Linked DNA regions of Danio rerio. The protein of the gene in region 1 interacts with the protein of each later gene in a pairwise test. Links are inferred from orthologs where the notes say so. Each region holds a gene or a part of one and is shown on either strand. Other genes may lie near its edges. The genes, in order: tnpo2a, exoc5 and camk2d2.

Evidence for each region.
Region 2: the proteins of tnpo2a (region 1) and exoc5 interact in binary tests that used the Homo sapiens proteins (3 or more experiments, as listed by UniProt). The two-hybrid records come from large-scale screens. The link is inferred for Danio rerio from reciprocal best matches to the Homo sapiens genes TNPO2 and EXOC5.
Region 3: the proteins of tnpo2a (region 1) and camk2d2 interact in binary tests that used the Homo sapiens proteins (3 or more experiments, as listed by UniProt). The two-hybrid records come from large-scale screens. The link is inferred for Danio rerio from reciprocal best matches to the Homo sapiens genes TNPO2 and CAMK2D.

The regions. Positions count from the first base shown.
Region 1 is NC_133178.1:17,588,085-17,592,268, forward strand, and holds the start of tnpo2a (transportin-2), read left to right. Parts: upstream 1-1,303; 5' UTR 1,304-1,351; intron 1,352-3,553; 5' UTR 3,554-3,554; coding exon 3,555-3,653; intron 3,654-4,184. UniProt on the Homo sapiens protein: Probably functions in nuclear protein import as nuclear transport receptor. Serves as receptor for nuclear localization signals (NLS) in cargo substrates.
Region 2 is NC_133192.1:49,414,233-49,417,888, forward strand, and holds part of exoc5 (exocyst complex component 5), read right to left. Parts: intron 3,515-3,656; coding exon 3,320-3,514; intron 1,156-3,319; coding exon 1,091-1,155; intron 1-1,090. UniProt on the Homo sapiens protein: Component of the exocyst complex involved in the docking of exocytic vesicles with fusion sites on the plasma membrane.
Region 3 is NC_133176.1:15,576,001-15,579,656, reverse strand, and holds part of camk2d2 (calcium/calmodulin-dependent protein kinase type II delta 2 chain), read left to right. Parts: intron 1-937; coding exon 938-1,032; intron 1,033-1,242; coding exon 1,243-1,365; intron 1,366-1,486; coding exon 1,487-1,570; intron 1,571-2,281; coding exon 2,282-2,324; exon of another isoform or gene 2,325-2,615; intron 2,616-3,656. UniProt on the Homo sapiens protein: Calcium/calmodulin-dependent protein kinase involved in the regulation of Ca(2+) homeostatis and excitation-contraction coupling (ECC) in heart by targeting ion channels, transporters and accessory proteins involved in Ca(2+) influx into the myocyte, Ca(2+) release from the sarcoplasmic reticulum (SR), SR Ca(2+) uptake and Na(+) and K(+) channel transport.

The DNA.
Region 1 (4,184 bases):
TTTAAATATTTCCCAAATGATGTTTAACAGAGCAAGGGAATTTTCACAGTATGTCTGATGATATTTTTTAATGAGCCTGTGCCTATAATGCCTATTGGTCAATCCTGCCCTGCATACCAGCAAGTTCAAAAAATTTCAACATTGTTATGGGAGCTAGCAATCGTCTCCCTCCTAAAAAAGTGTATCTTTCTTATCCGACAAAGACGTTTATAGGTCAATTTTGTTTTTCTAATTAAAAAAAAATAATTAGATTTGTTTTTTATTGAAAAAGTTGTTATATTGTCCCCTGTAATCTCTTATTGGATTAATATATTTTGACATTTGAGATGGGGAAAAATATGGTCTTTGCAACAAAAATAATTCTTCACTAGCAAGGTCAAAGTGTCTTAAATTAATCAACAAGTTTTATCATATTTTATCCAATTTTTGAAAAAGTTTCATTCTAAAATTGATGTAAAATGTTCATTTTAGCAATTTCATACTGAAATAGTTTTTTATTTAATTTGGAATTGTAATTATGCTGTACAATTTTGGAAACACATTAGCTCTTTTATTTATGATAATTTACAGCAAGATGTTTCTGTTACTTTTAAAGAAATTATTTTTGGTTATTATAAATCTGCCTGTATTAATGTTTGTTTTGTTATACATTTTATTTATTTTCTTTGTAAATTCCATATCCACAAATGCAAATTTACTAATGCCAAACCATATTTTCCCGTTTTTTTTTTTGCAGGAATTTTGTTAAAAATTACATTAAATTTCATTATCTAAAAAAAACAGCCAACAAAACTGTTTCATTTTGTAATCACTTTAAGTTATGTACTGTAATTGATTCTTAAATGTCTTACCCTCAAGTTTATATCATGTTCTTTATTTTCTTTCTTTCTCTCTTGTATCTTTTTCATGGATAGTGTAATTCATATTCTGTATTTTAAACATATATTGCTACAAACTTCTCAACTTTTTTTGCAAACACACACACACACACACACACACACACACACACACACACACACACACACACACACACACACACACACACACACACATATACCAAACATTTGGTTTGGTAAACCAAAATGAATTAGATTTTTTATGTCTATTTATTTATCTACTGTTTTTGCAGGTTTCGTCCTCCATACAAAAGAGTATAGAATCAATTTTTATCTAATCTAGTGACTCTAAGCTCTTTGTTCATAAAAAAGAGTCCCTCTCAGATTCGTGTATTTTTGAAACTGCCGACATGTCGTCACTTCCTCGTGGCGGCGGTCGTGCTGCGGAAGTGTTTGAAAGTGCCATTGCGCGAGACTAGCGCGAGCTGATAAGTAGGCCTCCACACGCGGCATGTGTAAGTGAACTCTTCTGAATTAAAAAAAATACTATATTTAAATATAAACGTGCAGTTTGTCTTAATAATGTCGCGTGGCATGGATTAAAACAAGTATAAACGCTAGTTCGCGGCCAACGCTTCACTTGTTGTGTGTGTACAATGATGTTTATGTAGGATTAACGTTAGCGATAGACGGCCGTTACTTGTTGCTTTAGGTTTCGAAGTTTCGCCTCATGTTTTTGTTTCTGTAACAAGTGTGTGATAAGTGTTTTACGCGTTTATAATGCTTTAACGTCGTGACCGATTGTTTTTGAGTTGCTCTCATGCATATGGTGAAAGACTAGGCCTCGGCATGATATGCACTCCTGACCATGTGCATTGCTTGATTGTTTCATGCTTTTATGCCTTCATCAACTGAATAACAATTGATAATTAAGTCCGACAAAGGCTAACAATTATAACCACAGGCTTTGTCATGTTAATTTCGGTTATTGTATCGAATCGCTGGAGATGCGTGTAACGTTATTTCTGTTAGCTCTTAATCACAAACAAAGAATCGGGTCAGTTATAAGTATGTATGTAATGTTTTAAGTATGTAACGTAACGTTACCAGATGTAACTCACAGATACGTTAATATCAGTTTCTGTGAAAGATTGAGACTATTAAACGCTTATTTTGGGCTAATCAAGGTACAGTCATTTTGAAATAAGTGTTGTGAGTAAAAGTATGTTTAAAGACGGATATATGAAATGTACAGAAGTATTATTAAATGGATAACTTTATTTTTAGTAATGTTATCCCTATATAATATACATAAAGTGAAAGTAGACTGAAAAACAAAATGCCTGAAATTGAAAGTAAAGTATCTGGAAACTATTCAAACTTTAAAAAACTGGCTTCCAGTGCATTTAATTTAATTGTGTAAACTTTTTATTGTATTAAAACAGTTGGTCAACTTAATCATGCCGTTTTCATCTTTTTGGTTTCAACTTTCATTGTTTAAATCATAATAAGTTAAGTGCAATCACTGCTTTAATCTAAACACTGATGTGCAGGACATGTAAAAGGCTATGGTTATGCGTAGTAGTCATTGTTTAATGACCCAACACTTTGAAACCAATTCACTTGCATACAAACTTTAAAAATAATTCTTTCAATTACTTTGTTGCTATCTTTTTAATCCATCCCTATATACATACATACATACATACATACATACATACATGCATATACACACACACACACACACACACACACAAAACATAAAAGTGTGTACTGAAAATGTCTGAAATTGTAGGTAAGGTATCTGGAAACTATTTGAAACTAAAAAAATAAAACTTGTTTGCAGTGTATTTAACTAAATTGTGTATCTGAAATACTTTTTTATTCTTTTAAAAAATATTTAGTTGATTAATCATGCCGTTTTGATCTTTTTGGTTTCAGCCGTCATTGTTTAAATCAAATAAATAGTTATATACTGCTAAATATATAAACTAAATATTAATCTAAACAGATTTGCCATACAATGAAAAGGCCATGTTTATGAGTACACTGTTAAACCCTGGAGTCAGCTTTATCAAATTAAATGAGTGTAGTTAATTTAAAATAGACTTAAAGTTAATTCTACTCATTTGTAATGAGATTTGAACTCAAGGTTGAAGGTAATAAGTTAATACACCTCATTATTTCAACTTAAATGAAGTTCACAGTACTCTTAAAGATTAGTTATCTCGAATAGTTTGTAGCAATCGGTTTCCTCAAACGGTTTGAGTTGCCTTAACTTATTGGGTTGTACAGATCTCGGTTAGTTTGAGTTCTCCATTTATTGGGTTTTACTGTGCTCAAATTGCTTCATTTACTCAAATGGATTACGTTCACAGTACTCATTAGGATTAGTTTTTTAACTTAAACCATTTGAGGAAATAGTGTAGTAGTCAGTGTTTTATGACCAAACACTTTTAACTAATTCACCTACATACAAACTTAAAATAATTCTTTCAATTGCTTTGTTGTTCTTTTTTTGTTAGTCACTCGGGATGTAAGCACACTGCATAAATGTAAATTATTTGTTAGTCCATCTTTTCTGCAAAAAAGAATACAGTTTCAGTAAGTAATCTGCAAGATGATAGATGCGGTTTACAAAGGTTTGGCAATGGATTCATAAGAGGAAGTAAATTGTGAAGGCATGAGGAATGTAATTGTTTGTGGTTTGTGTGCAGGATGGAGTGGCAGCCGGATGAACAAGGCCTCCAGCAGGTCCTGCAGCTCCTCAGAGACTCTCAGTCTCCAAACACAGCCACGCAGAGAGCTGTGCAGCAGGTATCCACACAACACATCACAGAATTACCTGCTATTTACAGAAATCAAGTGTTTAAAGGGACAATATTGATATTCTCACATGTATTGGTATAATAAAGAAACTTGGTCTACCAGTGTTTAAATGCACTTAAAGGGATAGTTCACCCAAAAATGAACAAGCTGACAAAGCCGCCAAAACAGCCCTAACAGGAAAGCTGAAGGAGTGCAAAATCCCACCTTCGGATCTTAAGCCACTATTAAAAGGATATATTCTCAACAAATGGCAATCAGAATGGGATCAGTGCCCAGAAAATAAACTTTTTGAAATTCAACCTGAAATAGGAAAAAAATCTAATTTATTTTTTAAGTCAAGACACGATGAGATTGTGTATAGAAGAGGCACACAAGACTCACACATGAATTTACTCAAAGGAGAAGAACCACCAAAATGCCTTTATTGCAACAGAAACCAAACAGTTAAACATATTCTTGTGGAATGCCCCATTTTTAATATCATCAGAAAACAAAATTTATCTGGAGAGACTTTAAAGG
Region 2 (3,656 bases), on another chromosome or scaffold:
TCTTATAACGATTTGTTGCCAATACCCAATCAGATATCCGCCATTGTAAATCTCCGCTTCTTTTTTCAATTGGTACTTTATATAATGACCTCCAACATCCATTTGGAGTGGTGCTAATTTCGACAAAATATCTCAAAGATTTTAAATTAAAAAATTTAACACAAAGACAATAGAATGACTTTTTAGGTATTTCGTCAAAGAAACCAAGTTGCGGTGTTTTAAATGAAAGTAATCTAGCATCATCCTCCTGCCAATCTTCTAAATTTACTTTTACACTAATCCTGGGATATTGCAGTCTTAATTAATTCTGTTTGCAATGGTACTACAGGAAACAATTTTTGAAGAGAGAGAGGGAGAGAGAAAAAAATCAAGTAAAAAAATACTGATAGGAACTATTTTGACATTGGCAAGTGACAATGCTAACTGCACAGAATTTACAAGTGAAAAACTTTACATGTATGCAATAGCATTAATGTAGAGCAGTGTTTCTGAACCATGTTCCTAGAGGACCACCAGCTCTGCACATTTTCAATGTCTCCTAAACTAAACACCCCTAATTCACATCATTAGCCGAAACTGGAAAAGGTGTAATGGGTGTGACAGACAAAGGAGACATCCAAAACATGCAGTGATGGTGGTCCACCAGAAACGTGGTTGAGAAACACAGATGTTGAGCATGGCATGACATAAATTTTGTTGTACTTAGCCCAATTTTTATACTCTACATGCTCAGTTTACACACACTGATTTTTTTCCATCACTTTTTTCACAAGCTACTGAAGATACAGTAGCAACACTAGCCCAGACCATTGATTCACAGTTAAAACAGACTGAAATTATACTGAAATCTGCAACAATAAATACCCAACAATATTTTAGTGCTTTCATACGCACATACACTAACCATATAGTGTATACTTTGAAAAATAAATATTGCTTAAAGCTGCACAAATATGCTAATCAGCATGTGTATTAAAAACTGAGTTATACTTTGGCCATAAACATGTGTTGACAGTCACTGATGACTTCTTATGTGATAACTTTAACAACACACCAATCCTCCAATAAGGCCCATCTGCAGGTGACTTGCCTGTCAAATGGCAGCTCCTGAGCGATCAGGTGCAACTTCTGAATGATGTCTGCAGCTTCTTTTATCTGTGTAGGATGAGAACAGACTGTGGTGAGAGACAGAAAATGGTCACTACAGGACAGACATCTCAAAATATAAACAGGAGCCAGAGGCAGCACCCTTAAATCTGGCGATCAGCTTACGGTAAATCTGTCCCTCACCCTTCTCGTCCACTACAAGGATGATAAGAGTTCGGCTCAGCCTGGCACACCTGAACCTCATCAAACCTTAACTCCTGTCAGTCAGTCGCGGCCCAGCCAACACCTTACGCTCACTCTTGACTATTAAGAATTGACTATAGATAATCCCTCAGTAAATCACCTCCCATAATCTGTCCCCATAGGCAGGTAGGAGGTCTAGGCCAAAACAGAACCCCGACAAGATCCCCCCCAACCTCTCCCTTCAAGCCAGATGGACGAAGAGAAGAAAAAGGTGATGCGAAAGGCCCTGCCGTCCACATATCCTCTGTTCCCACTCTCCTTTTCCTGCCTGCCTCAGCTAACATCATTATTGTGCTCCCGTGAGGTGGATCCATCCCTTTTCCACTCTTCTCGCCGAGGTTTTCTAAGTATCTGTCCCCCAGCTAAGATTAGCTAAATCCCATGTAAGTGATGTAGCCGTCTCCCAGCAGTAGGGGGTTTTACCGGCGCTTGTCTCCTCGCTGCCTGGGCCCGGCCCTCCCTTTCACAGGGATTAACCCAGCCTTCGTTCCTTCCATTTCCCTTCCCTCCATTCCCCCCTCTCAGCTATTCACCGGCAGCTCCTCTCACTTCCCCTCTTTTCTCTTCTGGAGGCGTGCGCGTCTTGAGAAATATTGAAAAGTCTGGCGGGTATATTCCCACATGGCTCTCTGGAAGCATGTTGGTGGCCTTGTGCTAATAGCATCAGAAGATGTAAGACTTGCCACCCAGGGTTGGCCACATCATTACCGAGTAACTTGAGAGATTAACTTATAAAGTGGCATTTCCAATTAAGTTGGCGTACATCAACATCTAAGCAGGGCACATATATTAGCCTAAGGCATCCATTATATCACTGCTGCAAACTAAATTTCAGTAGCTTTGGCGGCAACTGTCGCACCCTTTACAACTTCACATTGGACAGCTGCCGGTAAAGTCCTGCTTTCACAAAATATCTGAACCCTGTGGATACATAGTCACAGTTACTCAACCGGATCTGGCCTATAATGTAATGTTTACTCGAGGTGCTTGATAACAAATAGTTGGTTACTGAACTAGTAAAGCTGCATTCACACTTCATAGGTGCCTATTGACTGGGGGCAAAACTGAAGTGGCTAGTGGGCTTTCTAATGGAACTGCTTGGGTAACGTTTGTGTGATAAACACTGTTTTCTTGATGCTAAAAATAAAAATTGTGGATGGGAAAGCACTAAATATGAATGGAATTACTACATAAAATGTTCAATTACAAATGTGAGCAAAAAACAGGTGCTCTGTAATTTCGCCTATTTATTTGCAGATCTAGTGATTGCTCCTACTGTATTAGCTGTTGCTCAAGAAAGTCGCTCTTCATTTGCATAAAATTAAGAGATTCTCAACGTTGTGTTGCCAACAGATGCTATAGCGTATGCAGCTGGAGATCGCCAGGAGTCACTAGCTGTCCACTGAAATGAATGGTAGCTGCTTTTTCACTGCATGTTGCTGGTAGTTTGAATGAGGCTTAAGGCAGATCATACCTAGTCAATTGTAAACTCTTTCTAAAAGTATTCAATAGTTGCAGTGTTGTTTTCAATTATATATTATTATAATGCATAAATTATGCTACAACAGGCCTCAAATGCACCATCACAAACATTCATGCTAAACAGCCACTAACAAGTCATTTTTTCACAATTTGCTGAATGTTAAATATGTATGCACATAGGTGTCAGCATCATCTGTCAGCAAATCTATCAGGTAAAGCATTAGCAATATGACACATTATCTTCAATCTCTTAATCAATACATCAGAGGTCTCTGTAAATATATATTCATGATATACAGAGTTTCATTTAAAGATTTTAACCTTAATCATGCAAATAGTTAGTACAGAATAGAATGTTTAACATTGTGTCCTTGCCCCCGTTTTTGAAATTAAACTGACTGCAACACTTTTTTTTTAACAAAAAAGGTTTTTTTGAATGTGTTTCTTGTTTGATATAGTAAAACTAGGCAGTCTGTCTGAATCTGACCTTTTCAGGATTGTTGAATACATCACTGCGCAGCTCTCCATCCAGGAACTCGTTAAAGTATGTCATAAGTCTCTGAGCCTCCACTGCCCTCTGTCTCGGGGTATTGACTCCTTCTAGCTGATCTCCCAGATGGCACACCTTAGTAGCCACATAGCTGATATGCTCATCCAACTCCTGGAAGTGCTGGAAGGCTACCTTTGAATCACAAGAAAGTGGAGGTTATACAGTGTACATGTACAGACACATTTACCTTTAGCCCTTTCACTTTCCCCTACACCTCAATACACACGTTCACTTGAAGGAGTGTCCAAATATCTCTTTTGCTTGGATGTATAGG
Region 3 (3,656 bases), on another chromosome or scaffold:
GCATGTTCTCCATGCCTTCGCGTGGGTTTCCTCCGGGTACTCCGGGTTCCCCCACAGTCCAAAGACATGTGGTACAGGTGAATTGGGTAGGCTAAATTGTCCATAGTGTGTGTGTGTGTGTATGTGGGGATGTTTCCCAGAGATGGGTTGCGGCTGGAAGGGCATCCGCTGCGTAAAAAAACTTGCTGGATAAGTTGGCGGTTCATTCCGCTGTCATTCCTTTTTTTAAAGTAAAATAATAAAATAAAATAAATAAAAATAAAAATAAAACAAAATATGTTAATGAAGCTCAGTGCCACCAGTAACACTGGCTTCTGTAGCCATTCTACTGCCTATATACTGTATGCTAACTTGTGTTGATGAATGATTAGTCGGAGAAGGTCTCTTTTTTATTTGCACAAAAGTATTTCTTGCATATACTGTCTTTGAAGTCAAATGAAAGGGAAGTTAAGATGTTCTTTTTCCCATGTCATGGCGTACATCTGATTAAAACGATCCTACAATGAGAAAAATTGGAAAATAATTGGATTGCTGGAAGATGGGTGTTGCTAACAAAATGAAGGATCAACAGATGGACGAAAGCAGGGCAGAAATAGGACACGCCCTGATAGCCCCGCCCTAAAGGCATTCCATGTGACCAGAAGTGAAAAAAAGTTGTTTCAAGGGGGAGAGATGGTTATGGTATTTGATAAAACATTATAAGGGCAAAATAATTTGTACAAAATAATGAATTGCACAGATGCAATGTTTTAGCAAACACTACTATGTACACATAAAAATAAGAAGAGTACATTTTGATTTCATGCCGACTGTAATGACCTAAAAAAACTATTGATTTCATCAGACTCATTTTAAAGCTGAATTTATTTGAAGTATTTGCTGTGAAGAAGTTTCCCCTCTGAATGTGGCCATAATAGGAGCTTTCTGGTTCTCACAGGTGTGATCCTCTACATTCTGCTGGTTGGATATCCGCCATTTTGGGATGAAGACCAGCATCGCCTCTATCAGCAGATCAAGGCTGGTGCCTATGATGTAAGACTGAAGTTGAAGATTTCTCCTGCAAAGTGTTCACACTATACAAGAAGACACTGTTAGAGCTACATATGCAGAATATGATGAGACTGTTGATAACCATTGGGCAACACTGATGATAACTTGATGATATCTTGGGTTCCACAGCATATATGTTCATACAAAATAATGAAACTATGCTCAATTGTGTTGTTTTATCTCCAAATGTAGTTTCCTTCTCCCGAGTGGGACACCGTGACCCCTGAAGCTAAAGATCTGATTAATAAGATGTTGACTATCAATCCCTCTAAACGTATCACAGCTGCTGAAGCCCTCAAACACCCCTGGATCTGCGTATGTTTTTTTAACACATAAACACACACTAGTAAACAAGCTTGTCTATACACAGTACAACAAAGGACTGTTTTAATCTTTACTAATGACTAATTTTTCTATCTTCTTTCTCTTCCTTCAGCAACGCTCCACTGTTGCCTCAATGATGCACAGACAGGAAACCGTGGAGTGCTTGAAGAAATTCAACGCCAGAAGGAAACTCAAGGTTAGTTTTTAACTGATCTTTTACAGTTTTCTACTTTTGACCAAGCTTTAGCTTTCTCCACACCTTCAGAGTTTACTTCGCAGAGCTTCACCATTGTGTGTGCACTTGCTTTTTCTCTAAATCCGAGTCACAGAGACTCTGTTTACACCAGGTATTAATATGCATTTTCATCAATGTAATTACAAGTGGATGAATCAAAGGCCTGCTTTCACAGACAGGGCTTAGGGTGCACTCACACTATGCTATCTGAACCGTGTCCTGGCTTGTTTCCCGGTTCGTTTGACAAGTGTGAGTGTTCTGAATCGGGACATGTCATGCATATGAGCATTCCTGCAAAAGTGATATAGTGCTTGATTAAATAGGAGACAGGGGTTTTGTCAAAATCACAGCGATCACAAATAATGCATTTGAATGCATGTTAATAAATATAAATGGATTGAAACAAGGCCAGGGTATTTGTGCTTTAAAAGTATTTCAGTACACTATTGTATTGCTTTTTGGCTAATTATACTTAAATTACATTTTGTAAGTATTTATGAAAAGTCATTATAAGAGGTTTCAAACTAGAAAAAGTATTTCATCTTGCAAATAAACAAAAAAGAGATGACACTCTGCTGTTGCTTCTGTGCTATTCTTTCTTTCACCTCTCTCCTGCTTCTTGTTTTTTCCCCTTTTCTTCCATTTCCAAAACTTTTTTTTTTTTGCAACTAGGGTGCAATTCTGACCACTCTCCTGGTCACAAGAAACTTCTCAGGTACGTCTGGCTCTGCAGAACTGTACGTTTGAATTCTACAGCTGCAATAAACTCCCTCCGTTTTTATTTTCCTGCACAAATACTGTAAATTTGATTCAAAATGCTATAGTTTTTTTCTCATATAACTTGCTTTGTGTTTAATTTGCTGTTTATTATTGATTTAATTTTTTGGAACAAGTCTGTTTTGAAGTGAGGTGGTACACTACCACTTTTCAGACATTTTATTTAACATTTCTTTCCTGTTTATCGTTGCTTTGTCTCTTTTTGGGGGGGTCCTGTGGGTCCCGTGAGGTAAGAGTCTAATTGGACATAAGAAGGGGATGTGTTTTTACTCTAACCAGTGAACTGGTTTGCTTGTTTGACACACTTCCCTGTTACTCTGAGATACTAATTACCCTTGTTTGCATGTTATCAAACAGATTACATTCATATCGTCAACTCACGTTTTGTGTACAATGTCTATAAAATAATTTTTAAACTAATACATTTGCATTAGTTTAAACTATATTAATGCCACAATAATCAAAAAGTACTTTATGAATGTAATCACAAAAATAATGTTAACTTACTGGAAGAATAAATGTTTACTGTCTTGCTAATGAAACAAGTATCTTGAATGCTTGCTCATTATCTGGTTACATGTTCATCTGGATATGTTTATGTGCATTTTGCAATGTTACTTTTACAAATCAGGTATAATAATTTAAGGGTGTAGAATTTACTAGCTCTAAGCAAAATACAGTTGTCAATATGTTATAGATAAGGTCATAACTGTATGGTTGTCTGCACTAAATTTGTGATGATCTGTATTCTAAAGCAACTCTTTCTTCGAGGACAAATGTGTTTAATTTATTTATATAGCACATTTCCAACTGCCAAAAGGCTGCACAAAGTGCTTTACAGAGAAAAAATAAACTGACGATATGGGCATAAAAACAGTAACAGCAATAGGCACATAAAAGGAAAAAACATAGAAAGTGTAACAATAAAAAGAGCAAAAAACTAATTGAAATTTTGCCTAATTATAAGATGCTACCACAGTTGACCACACTAAATAAGATTAAGAACAGGAACGTTTTGATCCCCCCACCCCCCTACTCCTGACGGGAAGGATTTTTGCTTCAAAAGACCTACAAAATAAATAAGTCTTTACTTTAGACTAAAAAATAAGCAGTGACAAAGCCTTTTTTAGTTCTAATGGCAGGGCTTTCCAGAGGCGAGGACCTGATATGGCAAAAGCACTTTTGCCCCTACTGTTGAGGTGGGCCTTTGGAACTTTTAATAAAAACTGATCAGCGGAACGCAAATGTCTGAATGCAGTGTAAATAACAA